Pelodiscus sinensis: one gene and its partners. The protein of the gene in region 2 interacts with the protein of the main gene of each other region in a biochemical or structural test. Links are inferred from orthologs where the notes say so. Each region holds a gene or a part of one and is shown on either strand. Other genes may lie near its edges. The genes, in order: BMP7, ACVR2A, BMP2 and GDF2.

What was found.
Region 1: the proteins of ACVR2A (region 2) and BMP7 are reported together in a solved structure, tested with the Homo sapiens proteins (2 studies listed by BioGRID, with this or other methods). The link is inferred for Pelodiscus sinensis from reciprocal best matches to the Homo sapiens genes ACVR2A and BMP7.
Region 3: the proteins of ACVR2A (region 2) and BMP2 form a complex in vitro, tested with the Homo sapiens proteins (3 studies listed by BioGRID and IntAct, with this or other methods). The link is inferred for Pelodiscus sinensis from reciprocal best matches to the Homo sapiens genes ACVR2A and BMP2.
Region 4: the proteins of ACVR2A (region 2) and GDF2 form a complex in vitro, tested with the Homo sapiens proteins (2 studies listed by BioGRID). The link is inferred for Pelodiscus sinensis from reciprocal best matches to the Homo sapiens genes ACVR2A and GDF2.

What each region holds. Positions count from the first base shown.
Region 1 is NC_134728.1:14,405,593-14,414,090, reverse strand, and holds the start of BMP7 (bone morphogenetic protein 7), read right to left. Parts: upstream 3,324-8,498; 5' UTR 2,911-3,323; coding exon 2,478-2,910; intron 2,116-2,477; exon of another isoform or gene 1,983-2,115; intron 1-1,982. UniProt on the Homo sapiens protein: Growth factor of the TGF-beta superfamily that plays important role in various biological processes, including embryogenesis, hematopoiesis, neurogenesis and skeletal morphogenesis.
Region 2 is NC_134717.1:25,487,189-25,495,287, reverse strand, and holds the start of ACVR2A (activin receptor type-2A), read right to left. Parts: upstream 3,368-8,099; 5' UTR 1,587-3,367; coding exon 1,532-1,586; intron 1-1,531. UniProt on the Homo sapiens protein: On ligand binding, forms a receptor complex consisting of two type II and two type I transmembrane serine/threonine kinases.
Region 3 is NC_134713.1:192,409,890-192,417,350, forward strand, and holds the start of BMP2 (bone morphogenetic protein 2), read right to left. Parts: upstream 3,307-7,461; 5' UTR 2,639-3,306; intron 1,906-2,638; 5' UTR 1,899-1,905; coding exon 1,568-1,898; intron 1-1,567. UniProt on the Homo sapiens protein: Growth factor of the TGF-beta superfamily that plays essential roles in many developmental processes, including cardiogenesis, neurogenesis, and osteogenesis. Induces cartilage and bone formation.
Region 4 is NC_134718.1:5,221,645-5,229,491, reverse strand, and holds the start of GDF2 (growth/differentiation factor 2), read left to right. Parts: upstream 1-4,597; 5' UTR 4,598-4,829; coding exon 4,830-5,160; intron 5,161-7,027; coding exon 7,028-7,847. UniProt on the Homo sapiens protein: Potent circulating inhibitor of angiogenesis. Signals through the type I activin receptor ACVRL1 but not other Alks. Signaling through SMAD1 in endothelial cells requires TGF-beta coreceptor endoglin/ENG.

The DNA of each region.
Region 1 (8,498 bases), on a different chromosome or scaffold from region 2:
CTGGGCTGAGCCGGGCATGTGTGTCCTGCTGCCACCAGCTCCACGCACTCTCCCCTACGTGCCAGGTGGGGGCAGGGCTGCCCACACGCCGGGCAGAGGAGGGGCTGCACATGCTCCCTCTCCTATGCGCCGGCACGGAGGCGGGGCCGCACATGCGCCCTGTCCCACGCGCAAGCACAGGGGCAGGGCAGTGCATGCAACCTCCCCCACGAGCCGGTGCGGGGGCAGGGCTGCGCATGCGCCCTCCCCCAACCCGGGGCGCAATTAACCTGTTTGCTGGGGGTGCTAGAATGGCTCCGTCTGGCCCTGCTGTTTACATATATGCCATTGCTTTGATGTGTTCTGTGATACTCTTATAGGAGCTATCCAAAAAATGTTTTGTCCTTGTTTTTTAATATGTTGACTAATTTCACTAAAATCACACTTTGGAAAATATAATTTACTTTAGGGCCTGCATCTTAATAGGTTTTACATAAAACTCCCATGGATTTCAAAGAGACTTTTCCTTACACAATGAGTATAAGACTGGGGTCCTAGAGCAGTACTTATGAAAGCTTTGTTGGAATTAATTTTTGCTTTTTACAAAGGATATAATTATTCCCCTAGAGAAAAACATTTATCTATCTGGAGTTGATTCTGTTAGTTATTTATTCCTTTCATAAAATCATACTTTTAAAATATAAAAAGAAAAATGGGAATTTGTTTCATTATTTCACCATCTTTTGTTCTCTGTTAGATTTTATTGAGTGTCCCTGCACTTTCAGCCTTAGGCTTTACTTTATACTTAAAACTAAGGTACCAGCAAGCACAGTGTCAACATCTCTTATCTTTAAAGTCAAATATTTGACCACCAACTGTAATTTTGGACATTGAGATGTTTGATTTTTAACATGAATCGTTGATGATTGGCTTTCATATTTAAAAGTGATTAGACGAGCATTCTAATTCTAAATTGAACCCATTATCACTTTCAAAAAAGTGTAGCCCCTCATCAAATGAAACTCATAGAGCACTCATCTGAGGTTCATGGTATTTAATATGGATGTATGACTTATGGACACTAGAAGTCCAGCATACAATACTCCATCTCCAGGTTTCATCAAAATTGCAATGGAATGATAATGTATATAGTCATACCTATTCAATGGTATAACATAGAGCTTATACTGCTATTAGTGATTCTCCTTTAGGTACAGTGCCAGAAGGATTATAGTTCAATTTCTGTTGCCACAATGAAGTTCTAGGTGGCCATGGGGTGAAACATAGTGACAACCAGTAAGCCCTAAATGATTATTATTTTACAGTATTAAATGTAAGGGTGCGGTCTGCACCATTTTATGTGCATTGGGTCTATGCCTCTTGCTCCTTGTCCCAAAGTAACTTTGAGTTGATCTTGTTTTGAAACTACGGTTCCGATTTGGTCTTAAAATTGCAGGCACCCAATCTGTACATTCGGTGGTTTCAGTGCCACACGTGATGAGTGCTAAAACTGGATACAGTGAACTGGGACCTATAATTACATATTTAAAATAGAATGTTGGCCCTGTCAGCATTTTACTCAAATCCAGACAAGTTTAGTCCAAAAGGATATACAATCTACAGCAGACAAATAGAACTCAGATTGGACCATGGCATCCAATTAGGGGCCTAGTGAGCTGCATTCAAAGTGTGGCAACTTTCAGGTCCTTTGCATAAACCCATCCACATGTGCTTGTGAAAGAAAGCAACTAGCTGCCTAAAACTAGAAGAAAGACTATGTAGAGAAAGTAGAAAGCACTGCAGGAGTAAATAAGGATTTGCCACTGAAACCCACAAAAGCAATTAAGAAAACAGACTCTCAGCAGCTTGGCCCTTTCAATTCAGTTAATGCAGTCTTCCCCGCTGCACTGGAATCCATCCATTTTCAGCTACTCTAGCGGCATTAGATGACTCTAAGCTCAGTGCTTTGAACTACAAGGCAGCTCATGATCTTGTGCTGGTAGGTTTCATATCTTCCTTGGAGGTTCCTGAGGCAGGCCAGGCCCACTAATGATTCCTTCACCTCTGAGAACCTCATCTCTGGGACTGGGAAAATAAGGAGTTTATCGGCAGGAGGAGGAAGAATTTTCATGAGAGGTAAGCGCTGATTCAGCACAATAAACTTCTAAAAACCCTAATGATGTGAAATAGAGGCTGAGCTCTGCCCAGCTGAATTTCAAGATTACTGCCATTTACATATGATGTAACAAAAAAGTACTTTTTCTTGGGGCTACTTATTTTCCCTTCCCCACCATTGGAGCCACCTGCCACCAGGGCCACCTGTGGCCACCAGTAGAGACACATGGGCTATCACATTCTTGTCCTTCCTTTGTCCATCAGACGGATCTGCCCATCTCAACCCCCTCCCCAGGCACTAATCCCAACACTCAGGCATTTATCCCCTCCCCCACCAAAAAATCTCATCCCAGACTCCCCCGGGATGGGGGTTAGAGACTCACCCAGATTCACGAAGCTCATCACCATGTCTGCTTCCGTGAGGAAGTTGCTGTCCTGCAGGCTGGCCAGGGGTGGCCCCTGGGTGCTGAAGATGGGCTTGTAAGGGTAGGAGAATCCCTCTCCCTCCTCCCCGGCTGCTCCTGCCGTCTCCTCCTCCACCGACATGGCATTGTAGAGATCCAGCATGAACATGGGGGCAGAGTTCTGCTTGCCGTGCAGATGGGGCCGGGGCCGGTGGGGCAAGCCCAGGATGGAGAGGATCTCCCGCTGAATCTCCCGGCGCTCCTGGCTCCGCAGCCTCCGGTGGATGAAACTCGAGTGCACCTCATTGTCCAAGGTGAAATCGGCCAGGATGCAGCGCAGCCACAGGCAGGGAGCAGCAGCCCACAGGACCAGCAGCCAGGAGGCAGCCTGCCTGAACCACCCCACATGCATCTCTCTCTCCTCTCCTCCTTCACGCAGCTCCCTGTGGAGGGGAGAGAAAGAGCCCCCGTGGGCTGGAGAGCAGGGCTAAATACTTTACCATGAAAGACAGCTGGGGAGGGGAAATGCCTGCCCCACAAAGTTCTGCTCACTGGGTTAGAGGACTCCTCGGGAGATCCAGCGGCAGTGCACTCATGATAAAAGTCTGGCGGGGGGGAGAGGGGGGTCTAGTTTGTAAAATCCATAGGATAGGAGAGAGAAAATCTTGAGTGCTGCTTTTCACCCTCTTCCTTCAGAGTCTGAGCTCGCTCTTTTTCTTTCTCTTCACTCCTCACAAGCCAAGCCTAAGCACTGTTTGAAATGCTGCTTTGCAGACAGCACTGGCAGCAGGAGGTTGTATCTTGTGGGAGGAGCAGGCAGCAAAACTCAACACATTCTCTCTCTCTCTCTCTCTGCCTCTTCCCCCCCCCCCCCCCCCTTCTTTCTCCAAACTGCTTAGAAAAGAAAATCCATGTTCCTGCCTAGAGGAGGAACATCTGATCAGGTTGCTTTTCAGGATGTTATGGAAGCGGCTGGATTGGTAGAAAGAGTGAGCCATTTCCAAGTAGTTGCATTCTATCTGAAGAAGTGGGTCTGCCCCACGAAAACTCATCACTTAATGAATTATTTGGTCAGTCTTTAAAGTGCGACATGACAGCTTTTTTGTTTTATCATGTAAACATGGTTAAGGAAAAAGCACCCAAGAGAGAAGGGGAGGTTTAGGGGAGGGGGCAGTTCTTTGAGAGAAATATATATTCACATACTGTCCAGAGGGGAAAACCAATCAATGAATAGATTTACAATTTCATGATATAAATAGGATAGTCATTGAAACTAGGGTCACTTTTTCCAAGGGCAGCTGTGGAATAGAGGGGAGGGGGCAAATAAGAGGGGGTTAGTAAGGAAGTGTCAGGGAAGACTGGGGTGATAGAAGAAACTTTAAAATACTATCAATAACATTTACCTGGATCTGGCCCCCAAGGCTCAGGGATCCCTCCACATTGGGGAGCCCGTGCTAATGCTCCAGCCCCTCTGCAACCCATCCACAGGCCTGGAGCATACAAAACTTAGTCGCTTGGGTGCCCCCGGCTCTGGTGTTCAAGGGAAATGTGGGAGTGTCTTTTTCCTTCTCCATCAGGGGCTTCTCACTTTGCTTCTCACTTGTGTGTGGCCTCCAACTGATTTTTCTGTGGGTCAGCGGCCCCCAACTCAAGAAAGGTTCCCCGCCCCTTAGTACAATGGGGCCCATGGCTGGGCTTTTTGGAATCTATGATGATATAAAAAATAAGAAGAGTTACTCACCAACTTTAACTACAGCTTCCCAACAGTTCTTTGAAAAGAGAGGAGTGAAAATAATTCACATTAGGTGCTGACTTTCTAATTGAATCTTGGGAAGAAAGGGGGACTGAAGAAAGTGGGTCAGTCACACTAATCTTGACAGTCCCATGTCTTTGATGTTTCCTGATGAGTCTATTATATGCCAAAGTCTCAACACCTGATCTTGCATACCTTCTGCACCCACAAACATTCAGCACTTACATCACTCTGTGAATTTAAAACATTATATAACCAATAACTAGCTATTCATCTCGAAACCTATGGGAAGGAGGTAGACTGAATAAAAGGGGAAACTGAGGCATATAGTCAATTTCCTTATGGCTACCCATTGAGTAAGTGATACAGCCAGAAAACTCCTAACCATGCCCTGTTCTCATTCCTCTTACCCATAATGCTTCTCAAAACTCGTAACTCAGGGTGGAGGTTGGGTGCCCATTGGAGGCAACAAGAATGAGTTCTCAGAATCTTGTATACAAGCACTACTAGCCAGCTGTAAAGCCGGGGGAAGGAGTGGGTAGTTTACATAAAGCTTGTCTCTTGTTTCTGATCTTCAGAGTCCCTTCATTTTGGCTTAACTGTGATTTCAGTTGCCTGAAGTTCTATACACAACACTACTTTTTGTGTGTGTTACGCCTTTTATAGAAATCTTGGGCTTGATCCTGAGAAGTGCTGGTACCCGCATTACCTCTGAGAATCAGGCCCTTTCTGTGTGTGAAAATGCTTGTCAAGGGTATAACTAAGAGAAATTTGGCAGGTTTTTGTTTTGTTTTGTTTTACTTTGTTGCCTTTGTACATTTACAGCACCACGTCACTTCCACTGTTCCTCTTATATGGCCAGTTGGTTCCCATGTTATTTGTTTGTGGGTTTTTCACTCAGCACAGGAGAAAGGAAAACATCTTAAAAATGATAGTCAAACATCAGAATTGGCAAAGGGGATTCAAGAATGGGTGTGGTATCTGAAACTACTTGTAGCTCACTTAGTTTTCAAGTTGACAGTGTCCCTTTAATTTTGCCTGTTTGGGGAAGAAAAGTAGTTGTATAAGATTTGAATTCCAGTTTATCAGGAAACTGGTTGCTAAGACTTAGTTTATCATTTTTATGGGAGATGAAATTTTAGACTTGATGAGCTTTTCTGGTTGCCTAAGAGGTTATTTATATCTCTTTGTTCTCTATTTAAGTTTTCCTATAATTTTAAGTTGGTTTAAGTTGCCTATTTTGACTGTGAGCAAGTGCATCAGTTTAATATTGGCTATGTCCTTTCTTGAGAGGCAGGGAATATGCAGCACTTGTTTGGGAACAAACCAGATATTGTAAAGATTTCATTCATTAAATTATATAATTGTATTGCTTTCTTCTATGGTCTTATTCTTCATTTCCTGCCTAAATTGAAAAGGAAGATGCATGGTGTGACAGACATTGAGAATGAAGTAGAGAGATGACATTGTGAACAAGCAATTGGGTTTTTATGAAAGGGGGTTATGATAAGAATCAATGAGCCAAACTCTTTCTTTGAAGCAGCTGTGCAGGTAATTCCTCCACACTTTTTCCCTCCCTCATAAAATGTCTGGTTTGTGGTTGTAAGCTAGTAAGTGCAATAGGAAATAGATGCATGCCAGATTTATATGCATATGCCACTGCTTCTCTACCTATAACAAATGATACTAAGGGGATTCTTTATGAGTGTGGGTTAAGAAAGGGAAGCTATTAGAGAATTCTTCTCACATCACAAGTTTATCCCCCATTGATGTCAGTGGAGTTATGGGTTTTAAACAAGAGCAGAATCTCTCCCAGTATGTGCAGAAAAAAGGATAATTCTATAAGGACTGAAATGGGCTCAAGCTTTATTATTAGGATCCAGTTTTGGGTTTGAAATACTCACCAATCTATATAGGTTATATAGTCTGTACTATCATTGGTATAAAAACAAGTGGTCCTGTGGCACCTTAAAGACTAACAAAAATATATAGAACCATGAGCTTTCATGGGTAACACCTACTTCATCAGATAAGTTGCAGTGGGTTTTTACCCATGAAAGCTCATGATTCTATTTTTGTTAATCTCTCATGCCCCAAGACTTGTTTTTAAAGTTACAGACTTACATGGCTACCCCTCTGAGAATTTTATCATTAGGATAGATTTCATCCTCCTCCCTCTCCCTCTCCCCCTCCCATATGTATTGCATGCTATTTAAACTCATTTCATCTGTTCCCTGCAAGTTCAGCTCCTAAGCACTGCAGACATATTGCTAGAAATATAGGCAGCCCATGTCATCATCCTCTTTCTCCTCCTCCTTCCCAGATCAATTAAGAAACCAGTTTTTCCTCTTACTGTTCTCCTCTTCTCTAGACTCTCTTTCTCCTACTCCTTGTTAGTGAGGGAGAGCTAAATGCTTGTGATGAAGCAATGCCTGCATGTTGACAGTTGTTGTTTTAGATAATTTCTTTAGATAACAAAATTCCAACCAATTGCCTCTTTCTTGAGGTTTACATGTAGGCTAAAATACTAGATTAGCTACTTTTTGGTGTCTTAATGAATTGAACCCTTTTATCTGTTTTGTGTATTACCTACTGATCTTTTTGTTGGTGCAGGCAACTGCACATTCCTGATTAGTGGAAGAGACAACTTTAAAAATAAAAGGGCCTTTTTAATGAACCCTCCTTCCCCCCCCCCCAATATAGGCACACAAATACATGTGCAATTGCATGTATTATTGCCGAGATCATAAATATAAATTAAGCAGAGATCTGCCAATGGCTAATTCTGGTTATTTCCATGCAAATTTCTCCTCAGTAACTACAAACAGATTAGGAAAGTAGTTTCACGCCTAACTTGTTTTAAAATCAGGCCCAAAATATATTATTTTCCTTTCTCCTTTTTTTTCTACATCAAGTTCAACCTTTTCATTCTTACAGCTCAGTGCCCTCTTCCACTATTTCTATTTCTTACCCATTTTGAGTTTTGCACTTTTCGATTGCCATTTCTAATGCCTGGAACAAAATCCTCTTTCTGAACACTGCTGAGCATCTTTTACTTCTTCCTCCAAATGCTTCTACTAAAATAAATGTCTTTTAGGAATCTTGTCAATGCTGATTGTATCATCAGGGTCCTTTGGATTGTTTCCATTTCCTGCCGCCCCCATCCCCTGTACCTGTGACTCAAATTCTAACAATAAGAAAAACAGTATTATTTTATAAGATTACATATACAGCTTGCATATTGCATTACACCACATTGGATTATACTTATCAAAGTTTCTATTCATTCCTCTTAACACCATTATCACAAATGTATTCCTTAACATGAAAGTAATCACATTATGGATAAGCTACATGTTAGCACTGTTCCAAGAATTTGAACTAATCTGGGTCTGGACTGTGCTAATCACATTATATTAATTAAACCATAGCTCTGGTTGCCCTGGTTTACTGATCAGAGAAGACACAGTGATGGAAGCTGTGCACACAGATTTGAAGGGAACTGTTACTCCTGTGGGGAAGCCTTGACTAAATAGTTTTGGAACAGTAGGGACCTTTGAATTCTAAAATTTAAATGGTATCATGGGAATGAATCCTGAGAAATGCTGAGTGCTTGAATAAGACAACTAAATTTTAATTGTAAATGTATAAGAATATAAGAATGGCCATACTGAGTCAGATCAAAGGTCCATCTAGCCCAGTATCCTGTCTGTTGACAGTGGTCAATGTCAGATGCCCCAGAGGAAGTGAACAAACAGGTAATCATCACGTGATCCCTCTCCTGTCATCCATTTCCAGACAAACAGAGGCTAAGGATGCTGTTCCTACCCATCCCAGCTAATAATCATTAATGGACCTAACCTCCATGAATGTATCTAGCTCTTTTTTGTCCTAGTCTTCACAACGTCCTGTGGCAAGGAGTTCTGCAGATTGACATATAAAATTGGTCTAGATCACCACAGATTTCACTAGAGTCACTGTTGATTGACACCAGACACTAGATCAATGGTGGACAACCTGCAGCCTGTCAAGGTTCTGTATGTGGCTCACAAGACATTTTGTTTACTATTGCCCATGCTCAGAGTTGCCAGATTCCACTAGTTTCCATCTGCATAGTTTCATTCCTGTTGGTATTACTAAAGTGACCCGCATGTAAAGCAAGGACATCTGAAGTGAGGTGTATGTTGATTGCACACATTAACTGTGAGAGCTAGGAATGTAATAGTATAGTCGATTAACCAATAAGC
Region 2 (8,099 bases):
TTCCATTGTCATGGACAAAATTAACATTCCATGTCACGTGTACTGCTGCCAAGAATAATAAAATCTAGAAAGACTCAGATGTTTTTACATAGTGTCTCAAGAATGCTTTTGACTGATTAGTAAGTAGGACAGGTAGGTTCCTAGGAAAGGACTCCACTGTTCTATCCTATCCCTTAATCTGGCAAAGTAGTAAAGTGGGAATGGAAAGGGGAAAGAGAAAAACAAACTAGAAAACTCCAAAAAGATAGCCTTATTTAAATTAAAAGCGAATACTTTCATAATCAGTGTTTCAGGAAGGGCTTTACTTAAACATAAACCATCATGATTGTTAAAAACTGGTATTTTTTCTGATATTAAAAAGAATCAAGCTGTCTTTAACATGTTCCATTTCAACAGATTAATTCTTTTGGTTAATCTGTGGCAGTGATCGCCATTTCACAGCACATTCAGCCCACACAGAACTGATCAATAACACTACAGACACAAGACTAGACTGCATCCATTTAATAACCACAAGGAAATGGATCATTCAGCAAAATTCTATATCACCATTTTCTATTTATTTATTTATTTTTTAATAAAAGAAGCTTTTACAGAAAACTAGCCAGGCAGTTAGAACAAGATAGAAATAGGGTCAGATAAAACCAGCTATCAACTCACAATTATAAGAACGCTAAATACTTTTATTTTTGCACACAACAGTGCATAAGCAGTCAAAAAGGAATGTGTTTAAAAAAAAAAAGCCACACAACCACACAGTATACAAGTTGTAAAGCTTAAGGAAAAAAAAAAAAAGTTAAAATCAGTTACAATACCCAGGATCAGTAGCTCTCCGAAGGATCGTTCCAAATAAATGCAAGTCTATTAATTTTTTCGAACACTAGTTGCTATCATGAAAAATGCTTACACTGAACAATTTTTGGACCACACTGTTTCATAGGACTAAAGATAGCCATTTAAACATGTACTTTTGTAAAATCAAAAAGTGATAAACAGTGTATTAGGTAGCTAAAAGATGTTAGGTTTTGCAAAGTATCCAGATAAGGATTTTAAATTTACCTTATTCTCTTGATTCTGTGCATACACACAACTCCCCCTCCATACAGTGCTTTCAGAATTATTTTTAAACATGCTAAAGCTCAATAATGAGTATCTCAAAATAACATCTAAATGAAGTTAGAGGAGTTGGTCATGCTGCACTTTCCTGAGCATTTTAAACATAAGGAAACTTCAATTATAATATTAATAAATAGTATAAGTAATTAGCTTTAAAGGTACTCCATTAATCAATTCTGCAGTGGACTAATTTTACGTTTACAGAACGCATACAATAGAAGTGCTGAACGGATACCACCCCAGCTGTCATCTACAACAACCTTATCACTTCAAACTATTAGTCACTATCAACCAGAAACTATATATTCCAAGTCAAATATACAGTACTCAAAAAAGACGTTTGCAAATCGTACTAATTCCACAAGCTTTGGTATCACAATGATACCTTTAAACTGACCAAATTAAGTTTACTTACCTGAAGAACAAGAGATCAAAAAGACAGCGAACGCCAACTTGGTAGCAGCTCCCATTTTCGAAATACAGTTAGAACATACAGGTAGTGTTCCTACTCTCGTGTTTCCTGGTTTTTCCAAACAGAAAAAATCAACCTTCAAATTTAACCGTTATAAAGCAAACTAGAACATTTCTGGAGTCTAGAGTGTTCACAAAACAATAAAATCAGCTTTATTTAGATACTGACAACCGCTCCAGCTCTTTCTAGCGAGATCCCGGATACAAGGGTGTATATTTGGAGAAGCATTTCAAAACACATGTGTCATTTGGCTTCTGTACAAGTGGTGGAAAAATGTAATTCAGGGGGAAAAAAGTTAAGAATCCATAAAAAGTCAACAGCATAAATCGCCGTTTAGAAGGAGAACCAAGTCTCAGAGAAAGTTCAGCTTTTTTCTACTTTAAGCTCTGTAAAGTATCCCTCGTCGCGCTGGAACCAAGCAAGTTTTACTGAAATGAGTAAAGAGTATATTTTCAGTCTCACTCCTATTATACAACATGTAGTGTTTGAGTAAAAAGTACCATCTCAGCTTCAAACGTCAAAAAGCAGTAAGCCACTGATAAAGAAGGGAATAGTATACTTGTCAGTTTCTTTATAAAAACTGTCTAAAAAGTTACCAGCCACATGTGGGCAACATTGACGTTTACTTCAATCATGCTGCGAGCTGTATTGTGACCACAGGGAAAAGGATGGGAGGAGAAACAACAACCTCAAACAAAAAAGCCTTTACACTTCCACAAAAATAAATCTCTGGGCTTCCCCTTTCAAGTTAATGAAAGCCGAACGTTTTCTCTTCTCTCCTACCACTTCCCTCCTACTTCTGCGATCCTCTCCTTGTCCGTTCAACAAAGGCTGTGCATTTCAGACATTCTTGCCTCAACAGTGAATTTCAAACTCCTTTAAGAATCCCCTCTAAGAAACTATATTTGGTGTTCAAACAGTGAAGTCACAGGAAAAATGTAGTCTCCAGCCGCTGGGGAGGAAGGTGATCTATGAGCGCGTGGCAAATCTCTTCTTCCTTGATTGCTGTGCTTCTAGGAGAACGCTGCTTCTGTGGCGGTGGAAAGGATATCAATATTATAGACACATGACTGGATGTGCCCTGGATCTTCGTGTTTGCTGGGATGGTGACAGCTTTCTTCCTCCTGCGTGCTGGGCTGGTGGCTCTTCTGTTCGATTCATACCCCTCTCCCAACTCCTCACGGATACATTTTTCCTCTCTGCCTCCTACGTGGTTAGAAGGGAGAAACCTGGACAATTTTTCACTCAGTCCAACTTTTGCTTTCTTAGGAAGAAAAACTCCTCAATGGCTTGGGTGGCGGGGTGGGGGTTGAAAGCCTGGTGAACTCTTGCTGCCTTCTCCTTGTGCCTCCCACACCACGTACCAGGCAAGCCCTGGGCAAGGTGCTGGAAAGGGGGAGGGGAAACCCTCTTTTCCCCCTCCCCTAGCTCTGTCCCCAGTTAACTCCTGGCTCTGAGGAACCTGCTGCTGGCTCCAACCCTCTCGTCTCCCAGCCGGCGCGACGGACACCAACTTTGCCCCCCCAGGAGCTGAGTTTAGGGGTCGGCGATAAGGAAAGGCCAAGCCCGGGGCTTTTCTCTAGGCGGCGGATGAAGGAGCCGGTTTTATAGTCCCCGGCGCCCGGCTGGCAGCTCCGAACGGCCCTCCGAACCGTGCTGCTGCTGTTGCGGCTCGCCTGTGGTAATTTCATATCTACCCATTCACCGTGTGGCGTGCAGAACGAACCCAAGATGGCGGTGCCCGGGCGATTGTTTTTGTTTCCTCTCCTCGCTCCCCTCCCCCTCTTCCCCCAATCACGGCTGCTTGTCGCGCGACTGGACGCGTGAGCGAGTCGTTCCCAATTGACAGCCCTCGGAACCACTCAGGGCTGAGCATAAGGCGTCACCTTCCCGACTGGGGCGGGGCGCTTGTGCGCGAGGAGCTCTCCCGCGCCTCCTACTTGCGCGCGCGCTCTTGATTGCTGGCTGAGTCTGCGCCTGTTCTTCACCGCGTCCCCTCACGACTCCCTTCTTCGTGCCCCTTCACTGCACGGGGAGGCCTGGTGGGTGCCGCACCCGCCTGCTCCCCTGCCGTGCCCCACCTTCATTTGCGCCTCATCCCTTCTTAGTTCTTATCTCCACTTTGCTCCTCGCTTGCTATTTCAAGCGCAGCCAGAGGAGATGCACCCTCCATATCACGGTTCTCTGTGGGACCAGGTCTCTGCCCAGACTCTAGCCTTCGTGCTCTGTCCCGGGGATCTTAGGGCTCCCCCACCCTTGCATTTTTATTCTTATAGTTTTGGCAGACAATACGAATGCCTATTTTTAAGCTTTTTACATCTATCTAAATGTTTACAGTTGCTAATTATGGGGTGTGCCAGGCAATCGGTTTTTAATGACAGTAAATGTTCAGATACAAAAAGTTAACATTCGTAGCTGTTAAAATACAAGTTTGTTCATGTCGCCTAAAAATATTCAAAGTAAATAGCCTTGAAATCAAACTCTCATAAATTTTCAATCAGCACTCTGATTTGTTTGAAATTATTATCCATGGATATATCTTGAGGAGGGGGTAAGTTGCATATGTATGGTGAAATTGATGTTTATTGATCTTTCTATATTAAAAAAAAAATTCTGTAGGACGGTAGCGTCATCACCTCACTCTGAGACGCTCTGCCTCTCCCCCAGCCTTGGCAGAATGAGAAGGGGAAGCGGTGGCCATGGCTCAGGGTTCACCCCCATCCCTCTTCAGAGGGAGCCCTGGGCTCCCTGCTGACCCCCAGCTCACCTGCAGGAGAGCAAGGGAGCAGCAGCTGACCCTCGCAGCCCTCCGGGGACCCAGCAGGAAGTGGCTCCAGCTCCCCGCTCTGCCTTCTGCCCCGGCTCTCACCGACGACCAGTGGTAGGGCACTCAGCGAGCTCTGTTGTCCCCCTATTAAGGATGTTAAAATGCAATTAATTGACTAGTCCATAGGCACTTCCACATTTGTCCTCTGAAATGTCCGGGCTGCATGCGGTGTGCCTCCTTTGAAATGCATGGAGCCCAGGGTAAGTCCTCTGCTGACCCCGGGCTCCATGCTACACTGCATGCTAGAGGAGCCCTGGGGTCAGCAGGGGAGTCCCCAGTTGATCCCAGATTCCGCATGGCACTTCCCCAGAACTCGGGACCCCAGGCTCCATGCTACACTTATCAGATAGTCAACTAGTCTTTAACATCCCTATCCCCCATCCCCTCTATTTCCCATCCAACCGCCTATGGCCCTGCTGCTGCTCCTGCGTCTGGGGCCATAACACTCTGCGACCCAGCAAGGAACTGCCTCGCCTGCCTCATGCTCCAGCTTCATGGCCCCTTCGCCCCCACAAAATTAGAGTGACAGCACTGGCTTCCTGTGGGACAGGGGGAGGAGAAAGCCCTGAGGCTGTGCGCTGGATCTGGCTTGCAGGGAAGTGCATGCACTGCTCAAGCTGGATTGAGCATGGAGCCTCAGGGCTTCTCCTCCTCTGCAGAAAGCCAGCACTGGTACTCTAATCTTGTGGGGAGTGTCATGAGGCTGGAGTTCCAAGCAGGTGGCAGTGGTTCCCCACTGGGTCGCAGAGCATCAGGACCCCGGGCCTGGAAGTTGAAGTTGAAGTGAAGACATAGGTGGCTTCACAACTGGAGCAGTAGAGAAGGCCTCCAGTGCATGGAATGAAAAGGAGTAAGTGCCCTGCCACAGCGCCTCATGCCCAGACTCTGCACCCCAGCACCTCACACACCCCATCCCTGCTGCCCCCCCATCCCACTCCTGCCCCCTTGTTCCTTGCCCAGACACACTGCCCCCAGCCTGCTCTTTCACCGTCCGCTCCTCCTGTCTCTTCCCTGCTGACCAGACACCTGCCCTCAGCCCAGTTCTACCTCTGCCCCTCTGGCCAGACACCCTGCCCCCTGGCCGGAAACCCTGCCCCCAGCCTGCTCTTGACCCCTCTTCCTGTCCAGACACCCTGCCTAATCGGGGCCCAGCCCCCCTCTAGTCAAAGTATCCTGTTCCTGCCCCCATTCCTGAGGCAAGCCCTGCAGTCCAGCCCCCATCTGGCCACCGGAAGGCTGGTGGCACAGTGGACAGATTAAGGATGTTAAATATTGACTAATTGAGTGATCGAATAGTTGATGCATATTCATTTAGTTGACAGGGCACCTCCACCTTTGAAGTGTATCAGCAGCCTTCGGGAGCTACATGGATCCCGGGGTCAGGCAGGGAAGTCTTTTTGATAGAGGCAGCAAGTGGAGGGGAGTGGGGGGTGGAAGCGACTAGTTGACTAGCCAGTTGACTATCCAATAAGTATTTGCTTATTGGATAGTTGACTAGTCCTTCACATCGCTAGGACAGATGCGGGGATTGGGGAGTATAGCAAGCAGGAGGCACAGTTACTTAGTTTACCAGTACAAATCTAATCCTAATTTGGCCTTCGGGATTTTGTCATACCACTTGTAGTTTGGGAGTGGGGAAGGAAGGAGCAGCAGAAAGGGGAGGAGGGCAGTCCCCCCCCTTAGTTGTTTTGTTTTATTTTTAATGTATTTTAGTTTCACCTCTCATCAAAGAAAACCATAGCAGTTTCCAGCCCTTTTCCTTAGATGCCTTTCAACCTAGACAGTTGTAAGGAACAATAATCTGTCTCCAGTCACCTAACTGCTGTCCCCACCATGCCTCACTTTACCAAGAACCCTAGAAATCTGGTAGAGCCCCAGAATCAAATCCTGATATTGAATGAAAAGTAATGGATTTCTTCTTGAGCCTTTTAGGCATTCATGTTTTCAAGCTTTTTTCTGCAACCTCAGAGTTAGAAACTTTATCTTTTTAAAATAAATTCTCACATTCCAATAATCACATGAGACCAAGAACTGAGGCTTCAAGGAAAAGATATCATGTATCCACTTTATCAAGATTTTGGAGTAAAATTGTGAGAGTTTGTAACTTTAAATTATCCACAGTGGTTGCCACCAAATCCTTCATCAGCATGAATAGCCCTGCTTCTTAGAGTAGGGAATAGACCAAATGTTTGTAGAATCTTCAGCAATCATTGTCTTCCATTCCACTAGCAGGGTCCCTTGCCCCAGCTTTACTAGGGGTATGTCTTAACTGAAAAAAAGAAATGAGTGTATTCTTAACTTGGGGTAGTTAATTTTGTTTAAATACCAGTCAAGCCATGGCAACTTGGCTTTTAATTAGGGATGTGAAGATTAACCAGTGGGGCTGGAGCAGTTCCCTGCCTACCAAAGGCAGAGGGCTGTTTCAGTCTGCAGGGAACTGGATGTGGACAAGGGCTAAAGGCATGGACTGTTCTGGCCAGGCTGGAGCAGCCACTCCTGCCAGCAGCAGGGGACCGAGGGTGGTAATCCAGCCTAACAGTGGGAGGAGCCTCCCCATTCATCCCACCCCTTTAATCAGTTTAATATGTTTAACCAGTTAGCCAATTAAACTGGATTTTACACTCCTACTTTTAATCTAGGTTAGCAGCATCAGTTAAATTCTACAGAGAGACTTGCACCAAACTCAAGCTACTAACCCAAGTTAAAAATTAAGTTGTCTTCACTGCTGTTTTAACCCAATATAGCTAATATGCAGTATCTAATCTGAGTTAAAAACACACCTTTTCTGCAATTAAAATATACCCAACGAAAGCTGGCATATGCTGCTTTTTGATGGTTGCTTTGCCCCATGTGGAGGTGTACACATCAGCCCATAGCATGTTTGGCAAGTCTTTGTAAATCTTACTATCAAGTGATGCAACTCAAGAGGTGGCAGAAATGTGGGATTCTAGCAGAAAGTGTCTGTGTCTTCACTAAGCCCCTGGAAGTTCTAGATGCCAGGGTCATCCTTACAATCGTTCTATGCTGCTTCTCCAATTGAGCCTTCCTGTTCCTCTTCTGTACCCCAAAACTCATCCTCCTTTTGGCTTAAAGGACCCAGGACTGGACCAGTTGTTGTTATTAGTATGTGTATTGTGATGGGGCCTAGATACTCCAGTCATGAATCAGGACTCCATAGTGCTGGGTACTAACACAGAACAAAAAAGATAGCTCTTGCCTCTAAGGCTACGTATAGACTACGTTCTATTTTCGAAAGAGAATATGCAAATGCCATGGGAATTTGCATATCTTTCTTCTGATCTCACTTTTGAAAGCAGATCTTTCAAAAGTGAAAGTAATCTGGACGTGGTTTTTTTTCAGGAAAAAAAACCCACCTTTTTCCAAAAAAACTCTCTTCCTTTAAAAATGAGGTTTACACAGTTTTTCCGAAAAAGGGTTTTTCCCAAAAAAACACATCCAGACTACTTTCGCTTTCAAAAGCTCCGTTTTTGGAAGTGAGATCAGAAAAAGATATGCAAATTATCACAGGAATTTGCATATCCTCTTTCGAAAATAGTACGTAGTTTGGACATACCCTAATAGCTTGCACTATATGTAAACAATAAGAGACAACAAGTGGATATAGGCAATCAGAGATGAGTAGGACAAAGAGACTATCATCAGTACTCTCCTCCTTACAGGGGT
Region 3 (7,461 bases), on a different chromosome or scaffold from region 2:
CCATACACTGGATTTTTCTCCCATTCATTATGAAGAATTCTCTCACACACAAGCACAAACCACAGTGACAGGTTAGATTTCACCATGAATCTTTCCTTATCATAAAGCTGCCCCATCAAACAGTGTAACCACTGATCCTAGGCCACTTGGTATACCAACTTAATTAAATCCTAATAAAATTTCTTTCATCACAGCTCCATGTTATAACATGTGGAGTCTGTGTTTTCATTAATTTTACAGTGAGACTACAACATACCACCACTGTAGACTAATAGATAGAAGTTATTACTTTTATTTGTGACAAGCAGATGAGCAACATGAAAACTACTCGCTCTACAAGTCTATTGTATCAGATTAGCTACCCCAGTTAGTAGCTGCAAATTTAAGTTAGTCCCTAGACATATAACTGCTAAACCAATTAACTGCAAAAATAAATTTAAAAAAAAATCATGTCCAGAAGGTCAAGATCATCATTTCTGTATGCATTTACCAAGCACGAAAAAGGCAGCAAAATGTGTCAGTTACCAAAACTAGTTACATTTTAACTGATATGTAGGGTTCCAGCTTTATAGTACTGATGTAGTTCATTAGATTCAAACTCACAGAACGTGGAAAGCTCACAACAAATGGATTTATGTGCACACTTAAAACTAGAATATGATGGGTACTAAAAGTTTGAACAACTCAATAGCTTTACTTTACGCCACAGACACGCCAGCTCTTGTGAGTACCCATTTTAATCTACTTTTAAAGTGCATTCAGCATCTTAATTAAGAGGTGACCATGTTATCTGAAGGCTCAGGTGCGCATGAAGTCCAATGACCAGCTGTGGCAATGCTTTTATCAACCTGGTTTTTGAAGGCTTACCTTTAGATCTACACTAAATCTGCCCTAGATTCAAATCCAAGACAAGAAAGTCATTGTGCAAACAATACTACTGATTGTTGCATTGATCTCTCCCAGGGATTAGAAACCTTCCCAAAACTAACCCAGACCAACTGTAAACTAAGGAGACTTTTCTGGTATTTAGCTTTTATCTTTGAAAGCCCTGGGTGGGAATGCTTAATTGGAACCCAAGCTGTAAAAATCAAGAGGGGCAAATGCCACATGGGATGAAGAAGGTGAGGAGGAGAGAGAAAGGGAGGAGATGCTCAGAATAAATGCCTGGGGACATTCGAGGGGGGGGGGGGGGGGAGGGAGCCTGTTTTGATGCCCAGCTTGTAAAACAAGACAGAGAAACTCACAAGAGAAATGAAACAGAAGTTTCCAAACTATTTGGAAAGATTTCCCCCTCCCCGCTTCTATCCTTCCTCCCCCTTTTGGGTCCAGTGCTGATGGTACACACCCGCACCCTGCTCGCCCCCACACTAGTTCATACACCCACTACTCCACAACAACGGAGCCCACGCTTAGGCTCCCTAGGAAGCGACGCCAGCTCTCACACACTCCCCCCGTGCCCACCTATCCTCCGACCCCTCCTGGGGAAGCGGACCCCGCCGGGAGAGCTCCCCAAGAGCCGCGGGCGCAGCCTGCAGGGGGCAGCGCAGAGCCAGCCCCCCGGCCGTACCTTCGTGGTGGAAGCTGCGGACCGTGTTGGCGCGGCTGGCGGCTCTCTCCAGCGGGGAGCCCAGGGCGGCCTGGCCCGCGTGCAGGCGGTAGAGGTCCAGCATGTAGGGCGGGATGACGGCGCTCTTGCTGGGGCTCGGCCGCCGCTTCAGCCCGAACATGTTGAGCAGGCGCAGCTCGAACTCGCTCAGCAGGTCCTCCGAGGGCGGCGGGGCGGCGCGGCCCGAGTCGCTGAAGCGCCGCCGGCCCACCTCCGGGATGAGGCCGGCCGAGCCGCCCAGCAGCACCTGGTAGAGCAGCAGCGCCAGCAAGGAGCGGGTGGCGGCCACCATGGTCAACCTGCGCAGACAGGGAGGGTGGGAAATCAGGGCAAGCCCGTCCCGGGGGCCCGATCCCGAGCGGGGGGGGGGCCCGATCCGGCTCCCCCCCCCCCCCCCGAGGGAGGCTAGGGGGCGTGGAACCTCATCTGGCAGCGAGCCGCTGTACCCCGTGCTCTGTTGCACCTGGAGCCGCTTCCCCCCGTAGTGACTCCGGATTGCACGCCTGATCCAAAGCCCCCTTGCACAGAAGAGCCTAGCCCGCAGCGGACCATAGCGTGGCCAGAGATACGGCCGCTTGTCAGCGGCCAGGAGCCGGGCTGGCCAGCTCCATGGCCAGGTAGGAGCCGAGTGCCATGCCCAGCTGTCCAGGTGTTGGCTGGCTTCAGGGGGTGTCTGGCAGAGGTGCTGGGGCAGTTTTTGCTGGGGGCGGTTGAACCCACCTGGACAGCCCGTCTAGAATGGCAGCCACTCCAAGCCAGGGTGCCGCAGTACCCCTCTGCACCCCTACTTCCAGCACCTAGGGTGGTTGGGGGGGTGCAAGACAAAGGAGGTGGGGGCTCCCAGGACGGCCAGCACCGCACCTCTAGAAAGAGGTTCCCCGCGCTCCCCGGGCGGATCCCGTGGCGCGTTCACACGCAGAACAGGTTCCATGCGCGCGGCGTTCGAAGCGGAGTGGAGGAAGCCGCCCGTGTGAACGGCGCGTGGGGAGGGGAGGCGCGGGACAGGTGCGCCCGGCCGCCCTGCGCTCTTACCTTTAGGAGCCCGCCGAGCGCCTAAGCAGCGCGCTGGGGGCCGGCCATGGACGCGGGCTCCACATAGAAGTGGGCAGAGCCAGGGGGTGCCCAGCCGGGCGGGGGCTTGTATCCGGTGCGTGCGGGGCTCGGGAAGTTACTTCTCCGGGCGAGGCTCAGTAGCGAGAGGGCAAGTCCCTCGGCTGCGCGGATCCCGGGCTGCGCTCTAGCCCCGCCGCCGCAGCCCATGGCTTCTCCGGGGACTCATGCCGCGCGGACCCGGCCGGCCGCGACCCGCCGGGGCTCGGTGCCTTGCAGGGGGGGCTCGCTGGGCGGCGCCTGGCTGCGGCATCCCTCCCGGGCTGTCACTCCGCCGCGGCTCCCCGGACGGCGGCGGCCGCCCGCCGCGGAGACATCCCTGGGGGGAGAGGCCTCGCCACGCCGCGCGGGGGCGCGCGCTCTATGCCGCTCCGTGGAAAAAACACGCCCCGAGCATCCGCAGCCAGGCTAGTCCCGCAGCGCCCGGGCTCTTCCTTCCCTGCGGCCCCGGCAGCAGCAGGCGCTTTGCAACGGGGGAGGAGGGGGGGGGGCTGCCTTCTCCGGCCGCTGCGTCCTCCCGCGGGGTGCCCGGCCCGCGCGCTTCTGGTGCCACTTGCTCGAGGTCCTTGGAAGCCTCCTTGGCTTTTTGTGGCGCTGCTGATGTCACGGCCCCGGGGGCTGGAGGCGCCTGGCCAATCAGCGAGCGCGCCGCCGGGAGAGCGGCCGCGAGCCGCGCTCGCTGCTTTTAAAGGCGACGCCGCCGCCGCGGAGGAGTGTGTGCGCGGCTCCTGCTTCCCCCCTCGCCTCGCTTGATGGCCGAACCTCTGGGAGGAAGCAGGGACAGCAGCGCCACTCGCATCTCCCTCCACGTGCCTTCCCTCCGAGGCAGAAGGTTGACTGTGTCCCAGGCAACTCCCATCACCTGCGACGATCCAGGAGCCGGGTAGTGAATTTGGCCAGGGGGGGTGTCCCCAGTTCCCACACTGGAAAAGAATGATCCATGGTTTCCCCCTCCACCTGCTTCTCCTCCCATCGACATGTCCCCCTGTCGCGGTCTCCTATCGCCTCTCCTGGGGCCGTGCCAGGCTGGACGGGAGCTAGTCAGGCCCATGGGCGACATGCAATGTGCAGCGTGGTTTTTGCAAATCAGGAGCCAACGAGGGGAAGCTCCAGGAGCAGTTGGAGCAGGCTGGCAGCCGGTAGCTGTTAGTGTTAGCTTCACGTGTAATAAGAAAATCTAGTCCCGAGGATTGTTGTGGTTCTTCCGAGGCGTAAGAGCTAGAGCCCTGTTGGGACTTTTGTCGTCTCGCCGTCCTTAGACAATACGAGACCTGGGATCAAACCAGGCATGGGCTAAAACTGTGGACTTAGGAACTTTTTAGCTGGAGTCTGCGCCTACACGTGGAAACGCAGAGGAAAGTCAGAGATGGATACTGAACAATGACCCCTCAGTAAAAGAAGAGTGAAATAAGTCTCGTGCGCTGCTTATACAAATCGGATTAGTTTCGTGCTGTGGGATTTCAGTGTTTGCTGACTTCTAAGGTGTGAAGGTCAAAGCAGGTTTTGGAAGAATTGGAGTGTTTTCAAATAATCTAGGCCAGTAGAAAAAAAAGTTTTAAAAATCCCCACACACCTGATTTTCAGCAGAGGCACACAAAGCATTTGCAATTAATGACATCAACATTACACCCAGGTCCTGGGTGTAAATAGTTTTAGGCCCATTGCAGCTGATATGGATCAAAGACTTATACAAAGCAACAGAATGGTTAATCTAAACCTGCAGTGTCTAAGTGTACTCTGTCTAACGTTAGGACGGTCAACGCAATATAATAGCCCTGGGCAAATCTAGAGCAAACCTCAACTATTGTTTGAATTTTGCACAGATCACAAAAAACTCATTTCTCTCTTTTAAAAACAAACAAACAAACAAAAACCTGTTTCGATTCCAGTGGGTGTGTTTAGTTCTTGGAGAGGAAAACTAAATGCTGTTATCACGCCACCAAGAAAAACTAGGTTGAGTACCCATCTGCACCCCAGAAATGAAGGAGCTTAATATCTCTTGCTTGTGGTATCTCTCAGCCACACAACCTTTCATATTCAAAAGATCTCAGAGGCATGACTTTACAATCAAGAATATATGGGTTCTTTTAAGCTCATATATGGTTCTATCAAGTTCATTGTGGCTCTTTTTTGCAGGGGGAGCATCCCCAGAAATCTGTTCTTTCTCCCAAAAGCACCTTGACTATTTTATTCCTTCAAAGGACACTGTGTGAAAGGCCACTTTTATGACACTGCGTCTTTAGGCATGAGCAGAGATTTGGGACGCAGGGTGACATAACCCCCTCTTTGTTAAACTCCAGCATCCAGTTTGATAAGCAGTGGCAGAAGGGATGTGAAGCTCCCTGCTATAACATTTGCCACTCACACCTTCCATGTCACAGCCCAAAAGTAGCATGGGGAGCTGGAAATCATCATGGGCTGCCCCAATTGAAAGAAACGTGTCAGATTCCTGAGAAAATGCCTTTTATCCTTGGGGAAGCATCATTTTAAATGCATTTGACTTTCTAGGTTCAGCCCCCTCCTCCTTGGGAGTTCAGCGCTGCTTTGCTGAGTCCCTGGATGTTTTTAAGATATGGCTGCCCTCCAGTGGTGGAAATGTGTCAGAGCTCTCTGGATGTGCAAATCCCCATTTGAAACCCCTTTTTGGGGCTGGCTTTACCATTGAATTCTCTTCTGTGTCCCACTCAGCAGAAGCAGGGCACCAGTCTGTAGGCTTAGCAGCTTACCTGCCCATCTTCGCGACCGGCACCAGTCCATGCTATCGCAGGTGTTGGAGTGTGACAGTGTCAAAGCCTTCGATGTGGCAGTTGGCAGCCTCAGCTCCTCCAGGTTGCCGAAGCTTTTCTTCGGAGATGAGTTTAGAGCATGAGAGGGATGAAGGAGCAGGCTCTGATGCCAAGGTGGATGGATTCAGGAAGGGTGATGTGTCTCGGATGAACAGAAAGAAGATGGTTAACTCACTGGCTTCAGTTTCCGTATCTGCCCCAAACTCCTCGTGTGACAGTGGGCTAGAATTTAGGCTCCTATCTTCTGGGCCTTAATCCCTCTGCATCACGGGTCCCTGTGGAATAGGGATATTAAAACTTTCTTTCCCTCATTCTTTGTCCTTCTTGCAGTCCCTTTTTTTATATATATACAGTGCCTTGCACCATAGGGCCCTGGTCAGAGTTGATGCCTGTAGACACTAATGCAATAGAAACGATGACACAAAGAATCAATTGTCCAGATCCTAGCACAGATTCTCACTTGAACGGCCTGGAATCCCTGGTCACTTTCCTTCCTCAGAGCACCACACTGGGGTGCAAGGCCTTTTCAAAGGGCTGATGGTACTGACAGAGTAAAGCAACATGTGGAGAATTTAAAGCAACAGGAGACAGTTCCCTGGTCATTTCCACCATTTTGATTGGCTCTTTTTGCAGTTTAGTAGAAAAGTTGCATCTCTATAATCTAAGGTGATCATTTCAATGACGTCGCACTGGTGCAATTCCCCACGGAGACACCCTTACCCTGGCAAAAGAATGACCTATTTTGTTTTAGTTTTGTTGCTTTGGAAAGGCTTTAAGCCAAATCTGAGATGTGGGTGTGGGGAGGAGCTGTGGTGCTGGACCTATTTTTAAGGTGGGGGTGCTAAGCTGCACCCCCCACACACACACACCTGTTCACACCTCTCACTTTTCCAGCCTGAGGTCACACCGAGGATTGCCAACTCTCACGGACAGCCTGGGTGCTATTACCACAAATGGTGTCCAGTGTATCCGGTCCAGGAGAGTTGGCAACCTAGCCACAGCTAAAGGTGGCTGCGGAGCCCTGGGTTGGGAGTGGGATGCTGAGCAGCAGCAGATTTTCTGGGGCCAGTGGCCTGGACCACAGAAATGGCAAGCTGCAGAACCCACGGGGATGCCAGGTGGGAGGGACCCTGGGGGTGGCAGAACCGGCAGTGGGTGGGAAGCAGGGCCGGCCCCTGGGCATGGAGAAGCCAGGTGCAAAACCCTGCACCTATGGAGAAGAGTGATAGCCCAAGCTGAAATTCAAGCCTTAGAAAGGGTGATAGCTTAGGAACTCCCAGATCAGGTTCAATTTTATGACTTCCTGGAGCTCGTTAGCCTGAATTTAAGGTGCAAGCAGTGTGACGTCAGGGCACTCCAGTTGTGTAAATCAGCACTAAACTAACAATGGCAATAGAGTTTACACATCACTGACATTAAATGAGCACTTTGGTGGCTAATTGCCCTTCCAGTTCATTCTGCAGTGGACCACACCAGGGAAAAGCCATTTCTTGCCTTAATATTTCATCTCTATGCCTGGAGCATGGGTTGTACTGGATGCTACCTATGGTGACTATAGTAGGATGAGGAACCGTCTGAGGGAGAAATGCGTCTACATTTCTTCCAAAGGCCTGGATAAATTCTGATCTGATTTAACATCAAGAGGTTTGCTGCCATTCTGATTGTAAATATAAATAGGCCCACGGATCCTTCTGATGTTAAGGCCATAAAAGCCTTGGATATTTTGGAGTAAATGAAGAGAGGTTTCCCCTTCCATCCTTTGCCTCTTTTATGTTCAGAATGGAAAGCCCAGATCCTGAAGAATAGTGATAGAAATGTAGCCGTGTTAGTCTGGTGTAGCTGAAACAAAATACAGGACTATGTAGCACTTTAAAGACTAACAAGATGGTTAGACATTTACCTCCTCCCCTCCCCTGCCCCATTCCTCTTCTGTTCTGAAATGTGATTTGTCCTTTTCAT
Region 4 (7,847 bases), on a different chromosome or scaffold from region 2:
TCCGCTGAATGTCCCTGGGTGGAGAACACTGCCAGGTTGGAGAACGTAAGCGCTTTAGAGAAAAGGGCATGATCCAAGGGTTTTGTCTGATATGAGTATCTACCTCTGAGGCCATGGTGCCGGTAAGAATCTTACTTAAAAATACACGTCCTGATTCTCCTCCCACTTACCCTGTTATGAATCAGCAACAATTCTATTGAAGTCCATGGTCTCCATCTGGCACTGCTTTTGGGGCATGGACTTGCTCCCCAAACCACGCCGACCACGGTGAGAAACAGCTCCTCCATCCAGGCCTGTGGTCTGAGGTAAAAATTCCTCCCCTGTACACAACGGCTGTGTCTACACTGGCCACTTATTCCAGAAAATCAGCTGCTTTTCCGGAATAACTTGCCAGCTGTCTACACTGGCCCCTTGAATTTCCGGAAAAGCACTGACGATCTACTGTAAAATCATCAGTGCTTGTCCGGAAAACTATGCTGCTCCTGTTCGGGCAAAAGTCCTTTTCCAGAAAACTGTTCCGGAAAAGGGCCAGTGTAGACAGCACAGATTTCTTTTCTGCAAAAAAGCCCCGATCGCGAAAATGACGATTGGGGCTTTTTTGCGGAAAAGCACGTCTACATTGGCACGGACGCTTTTCCGGAAAAAGTGCTTTTCCAGAAAAGCATCCTGCCAATGTAGACGCGCTTTTTCCGGAAATACTTATAACGGAAAACTGTTCCATTTTAAGCAGTTCCGGAAAATCATGCCAGTGTAGACATAGCCACTGGGTGCTCTTAAAACGCAGAAGACCTGGGCTCCATTTAAGAGTTACGCCTGCAGAGCTAACTTTTGTGTTCAGATCTGCGAGCGCAAGAAATCACAACACCGGCCCAACATTGCGATGCCAGACAAAGGCCTAGTCTAGGCACAGTTGGATACTTTGCTCAAAGAGCTGGCATAAATCATTCTGCCGAAGGAACTCTTGCTGCTACAAGTTGCATTTCCACTGGGAGGTTTTGCCGGGAGAGCCAGATGGGCAAAGCTTTTAGGTTTTAAAGGCCTAGCCTAAGATTTTTCCAAACGGAGTACTGATTTTAAGGCCCTTTGTGCTGGGTTGCCCCATTGGAGACACCCGTGGGGCTTTTCAGACAGCGTAGAGCATTCGCCGTTTCAAAATCACGTCCCTCTAAGACAGGTCAAATTTGGCATCCAAAAATTACGTGTCACTTGAAAATCTTGACCCTCAGCCGATGACTTTTGAGCTATGACATGGTGAAAGAGAGTCTGGAATTGGAGCACCTGAAAAAAATATCACTTCAGGCCATTGGGTCTCAGACTGTGGGGTCAGGACCCCAAGATGGATCCAATTTGAATGGGGTTGCCAGGGGCAGCTTAGACTTGCTGGGGCCTGGGGTTCAAGCTGGAGTCCCCCTGCCCAAGGCCAAAGCCAAAATCTGAGCGCGTCAGCCTTGGGTGGGGCTCAGGTTACAGGTCCCCTGTTACGTCCTTGGTGCTTTAGCTTTGGCTCTCCCCAGCCCTGAGTGATGGGACTCAGGCTTTGCCCCCACCCCACCTGGGGCAGTCGGGCTTGGGTGGGCTCAAGGTCCGGTCCCCTCTCCTGCAGCCATGAAGTGGTTTTTGCTGTCAGAAGCGGGTGGCGGCGCATGAAGTTTGCTCCATCCCTACTTGGCCGCAGGGGATGCCAGTTCCAGGGCTGAGCAAACTCCTGTGGACAGAAGCCATCAAGTGTTGCCTACTTCTGGAGTAGGAAGTGGGCCTGAAACACTTGCCCATGTATCACAGGCCTGGCGAGAGACCCGAGGCCTAGGCAAAAGTAGTCAAGACTTTGCTAATAGAAAGCACAGTGGAGCTGTGAGCAAGAAGCGCTTAGGTTCAGCTCCGACTCCTACAGAACCAGTGCGAGTTGGCTCAATCCTTTAGGCTTTGCCGTAAACGACTGCGATTGCTCGTTAGCTGGGGGAGTGACAGCCTTGCTGCCGTACCCTGACTCCAGTCTTCTTTTGAAGGGGATGTGCTCAACCTATCTCCATCGGTGGCTGAGAGCATCCTATATATCCCCTCACTGGTGACCCCATGAACTGAGGAAATCCTTTCCAGCCTGTTAGCTCCTGAGGAGACTGTTATAAAAATATTTCCCTCAGTAGATATTGTCTATCAGCAGGCCCTGAAAACTTGCACCGAGTGTACAAAAGAAGTTGGCTGAGGAGATCTCTGGTTCACTGATGTTAATCTACTATATATCTGAGAGAGTTTGTCTGTCTGTCTGTCTGTCTGTCCAAGAACTCCTCAGCGGGAAGAGCTAGGACCACCACATTCGGGAAGCAGCTTCCTCTTGTCGTGGCTTAAAGCAAGGTCAGGTTTCGGTTGTGCCAGGACAATGGGGAGTGCGTGGAATGGGATTGCGTCTCATCAAACCATGCAGAAAAGAGACAGACTTACCAGGCAGGTGAAAGAGGCTGGCTGCACGTGCACCCTTCCCCCCCATCTTAGACTGCTCCAGCTCCGAGGCTCCTACCCCCCATGCACCCTTTAGGGAAGGCGGGGGGTGGGGCTGAAGCTCCCTCCTGCTCCCATTTGTAGGGGAACATTGCTGGCGGTTCCCCTTCATCAGGGAGTGAGGGGAGTGCTGTGTTTGCTGCATTCCTCTCTCTGGCTGGAGAGGGCAGGGGGCAGATGAATCCGGACCTGCGCCAGCCAGGGAACAGGCACGCCTCCCCCAGCTGTGCCCACTGGCGCTGCAGTGGCCTTGCAGAGGCGCTTCTCACTTGACCCCAAGCGGCTGCCATGAGAGGGTGCTGGGGTAGTCCTCTCCCCTGTGAACTGAGCCCCTCCTCCCCAGCCTGACTCCAGAGCAATGATTCAAATGAAGCGTGAATATTTTTATTGTATTTTCCAAAACCCAAAAATTGAGTCAAGGACCCCAGCAATGCCGGGTAAACTTCCGGTGTGTCCTACATGGTAGAATACCTGGGCTAACATTGTGCCGGTATTTAAAATGGGCAAGAGAGGAGCTGGATAACAATAGGTGGGGTAATAAGAAATCAGTCCTGGACAAGATAATGGATAAGTCACCTCTAGTTCAATTGCTGAAAAACAAAGAGGAGGGGATAAAGTCATCCCAGCTATTGCAACCAGCAATGAGGTCTAGAGGCAAAACCTTTCCTGGGTCTTTGCAATGGGATATTTTGCTGAGGAACTGAGATCAATCAGACAACATGGCACCCAGATACTAGGTGTCAATTGGTTCTCTAAAAATACAGCGTCTGTGTCTACATTGGCACCCCTTTCCGGAAAAGGGATGCTAATGAGACACTTCGGAATTGCAAATCCGCGGGGGATTTAAATATCCCCTGCGGCATTTGCATGAACATGGCTGCCGATTTTTCCGGCTCAGGATTATGACGGAGAAAAGCGCCAGTCTAGATGCGATTTTCCGGAAAATAAACCCTTTTCCGGAAGATCTCTTATTCCTACTTGGAAAAGGGTTTATTTTCCGGAAAATCATGTCTAGACTGGCGCTTTTCTCCGGCATAACCCCAAGCCGGAAAAAAGTGGCAGCCATGTAAATGCAAATGCCGTGGGGGATATTTAAATCCCCCGCGGATTTGCAATTCCGAAGTGTCTCATTAGCATCCCTTTTCCGGAAAGGGGTGCCAATGTAGACACAGCCAGGCAGAATTGGTAACATTATCATCTACACTTGGATTAGAGCAGATTAGGCTCAATTAGATTCAGCTGCAAGTCATCTTTTTAATGTTTTAACTGGAGAGTTTCCTCCTGGAGATGCACAAAACTCTACCACAATTCTTATTTTTGTCTTGGCCAATATTCCCATGAAAAATCAAACATCTCCCTGGCTCATGTTCAGTGACTTCATAGAGACTTTAGGTTTCACTCCGGCTTAGTAAACCTGGCTTTATCTTCAAGAACAATTAGTCATTCTTGCAGTGACAGAGGAATGAGCTAGTTAAACCAGCGACCTCATGTAGAGGATTCTAAGAAAATACATTACATAACATACTACAAAGCCAGATTTTTTTTTTTACCCTTCCACTAAAGGATGCAAACTAAAAATGGACAAGCCGGCTAACAAGTTGAGGCAAACTTGACACAAGACAGATAGCTCACTCTGTACAAATAATAGCTCTTGGCCGATAAATGGAAAGCAATTTTAAGACTGTTCGTATTGTCATGAGAGCACAGCTTGCTAAAAGCACAGGGTTCAACCAGATGGTTGATTTTCGGAGGACAGGCGTAAAGGACCGTGGTATAGATTTGAGGGGTGATATTTTCTCCTGGCGAATTGAGTAGTTTGTTCTTACTCCCTGTTGTTATTTTTTTGGCATGGGGTGGAGGGGGGAAGTAGGGAAAACCAGAGTCTTTTCCTCCACCCCACCCCCCGCCCCGTTAAAAAAGTTCCTCTGAAGCCCTGTCAATGTTGGCCAACCCCGCCCCCAACGATAAAAGAGCATAATTAAGCAACGATGACCCTGCAGAGAAATGTGGATTCTTTGCAGCATACAATGTCCAGCCACATGTTTGTCAGATGTTTACAGAATCTTCATTAACGAAGAGCTTTGCAAGATAACAGAAACTGAAGCATGGCATCATGGCTTGAGATAAGGGCAAGTGTCCAACCAAGCTGCCTGACAACTGACAAGAGGCTGGGGGGTTGCAAACGAGCTCGAGAAAGTGATTTGCAAAGGGCTCTCACTCCAGTGGCTCGCCTTCCGTCTCCCGTTCTTCTGCCTCGAACGGGAGGCGCGATCTAGTCAGCTGGAAGAACCCGGTCCTTTTCCCACTTTCCGACGGAGGCGCATCCGTGAAAGATGTGCTCGTGGGGGGCGACGGCGGCCTGGCTGGTTTTCAACATCATCGCTTGCGTGGCAAGAGGCAAGCCCTTGGAAGCCTGGGGTAAATTATCAGAGAAATCCTTCGGTGAGCCCAGCGAGGTGGAGGGCAAGACCCCTTTCAACTTGAAAGCCTTCCTGGAAAACATGAAAGCCGATTTCCTGAGGAGTTTGAACTTATCCGGCGTCCCTTTGCAAGAGAGGTCTAGAGAGGAGCCCCCGCAGTTCATGATCGATCTGTACAACAAGTATGCCACGGACAAGTCTTCCAGCCCGGCCTCCAACGTCGTGCGGAGCTTCAGTGCAGAAGGTATGAAATGTCTTACACCTATAGACCGGGGTTGGACAAGAAGCTAGAGAGTCCGTGTCAAATCCCATTGCAAATCAAAGGGACTCAGGCACCTAACTCCCTTGGGCTTCTTTGGAAAATCCCCGGCATAGTCTCTTTTGTTATCCTTTCCGCTGCTCTTCTCTTATACTCTTCCAGGTCCTAAATCCTTTTCTCTGAGTCCACATTGTGCCCTCTTGCTTCTCCAAGAAGCAAACGAAATATTCCAACTCTCCAAACAGAGTCACCACAACTTGGCTGCCTTGCCTTTGTTTTGGGGCTGAGATTTGGGGCTGAGCTGCAAAATTTGGGGGTAGGTTTTCCAACACCCCCAACTCTGGAGGATGTTTGGCCCTTGGGCATTGCTCCAGCCCTTTGTAAAGACAGGAGTCGAACGGGAAATGGGACTCCCGATTGCTGCTAGGAACACCAGCCTTTGCATTCAGAGATCGGGAGTGAGTGGGGCTGGGGGGTTTGGTTCAGAGCCCCGCTCAGCACCTCAGGAACATACCCGACCATCCAGGGCTTAATTTGTGCCAGGCCTTGCCCAGGCAAAGGCCCTAAACCTCTCCACTCAGTAGCAGTCTCTAGGCTGGCCCTAGCACCTCTGGGCTTCCTGCGTCACTTACGAATGTAAAAAATTCCTTGCGGCCCAGCACCTTTTTCAGCAGAGTTTCAGCCATCTAAGACAGCACACGACTCAATCCTTTTAAAAGCCCTCTCGTTAGAATCAATAAAAGGGGCGGGGGTGTTTTAAGTGAATTTGGTGCTGGCCGAAAGAACCAGCCAAGACAAATTCAAATGTCCATGTATCTAGACCCAGCACAGACGACAGCGTGGCAGCCGTCTCCACATTCCCGCACAAGCACACCCCCTTCTCGGTGTGAGCTAGGGTGCAGGCTCCCTGGCCCCTCCTCTGCTCTGATTGGCCAGGGAGATTGGGGAAGATGCTTTTGGCAGGGTGGATGCTTGTGAGATGACACCCACCCACCCATCTCACAGCCATCAGCTGGGGGTAACTTACCAAAACCCCTTACAGACATGCCTCGCACCTCCAGCTCCCATGGCCTTTGGCTGGAATTACGTCTCTGACTAGCCAGCCCTGCCCGGGAACAGAAGCAGGGATTGGGAGAGGAAAGGCTCCATTTCCGAATACCAAGCTCCCAAGCCAGCCGGAGCCAGGAGCTTCTCCATCAGACTTGCAAAGGGTTTGATCGTCCACTTTGGTTCCTCCCTAGTGCAAGATGTTTTGTGGGGAAACTCAGCTACGATAGCTATAAACTAGAGATGTAGGTTCCATATCCCTATGCCTGAGCCTCCCCCTCCAGGGGAAGGGGAATTTGCCCCAGCTCACGATCATGGTCGTGGGATTTGTACTACCAACCCCCAGGGAGGTTTACAGCTGTAATTCCTCTGCAGAGGCCACATGGCAGAGCCTTTATGGGAAGCCACTGCATTTGCACACGCCCCTCATGAGCCAACACCACCCACTTTTGGAGCTGTGCTGGCACCTTGTGTGTGGACACATCACACTCATGTACACACACACACACACACACACACACACACACACAGGGAGTCTGAAGGTGAGGTTACTGTGGATCACAACTTGATCCCTGGTGGATTTGCTACCCATAGGGACCTCCCTCTGGGTTTCACTCTGGAGTGAAGCCAGTTCATTTATTTAATACTGGTGGCCATGGTGTAACGTCACTCCCAGCAGCTACTAGTAACGGGTGGGCATTTCTTCTGAAACATAGCATGCCACCGGCGAAGTGCGTTCGTCTTCATTGGATTAGCCTCTATCCTAGGAGGCAGGGTGACCGCCTCTCTTAATTTCCTCTTGCAGATGTTGTCTCTATGGCTTCCCCAGAAGAAAATCCATTTCAGAAACACCTCTTGCTCTTCAACGTCTCTATCCCCCGGCACGAAGTCATCACCAGAGCTGAGCTGCGACTCCACATTGCCTGCAGTAGGGACGTCGGGCCTCTCTCAAGGCTGGAAGGCAAGTTAGTCATTTATGATGTTACCGATAGACATCTCTGGCAAAGCCCAGAAGGCGCCAAAGCCTTCCTTGTCTCCCGAGAGATCCAGGAATGCGGATGGGAAATGTTTGAGGTGTCCGGTGCTGTGAAAAGATGGGTCAGGGCAGACAAACCCAAGACCAAAAACAAGCTTGAGGTTGTGGTGGAGCGGAAAACCCAGGGGGACTCCGTTTATGGGAAACTGGACATCAGTGTGTCGCCCGACACGACACAACTGCCCTTGCTGGTAGTGTTCTCCAACGACCACAGCAACGGGAGCAAGGAGACCAGATTGGAGCTCCGGGAAATGATAGTTCATGAGCAGGAGAGCATGCTGAAGAAGTTAGCCAAGAACAGCACTTTGCCTGAAGAGGAAGAGGAGGGAGAGGCGAAATCCATATCCGACCCCGGGCTCCACTCGCCTTCATCCAGAAGCAAGAGAAGCACCGGTAGCAACCACTGCCGGAGAACCTCCCTCCGCGTGAACTTCAAGGAAATCGGCTGGGATTCCTGGATCATGGCGCCCAAAGATTACGATGCATTTGAATGCAAAGGGGGATGCTTCTTCCCGTTGACGGACAACGTAACCCCCACGAAACACGCCATCGTCCAGACCTTGGTGCACCTCAAAAACCCCAAGAAAGC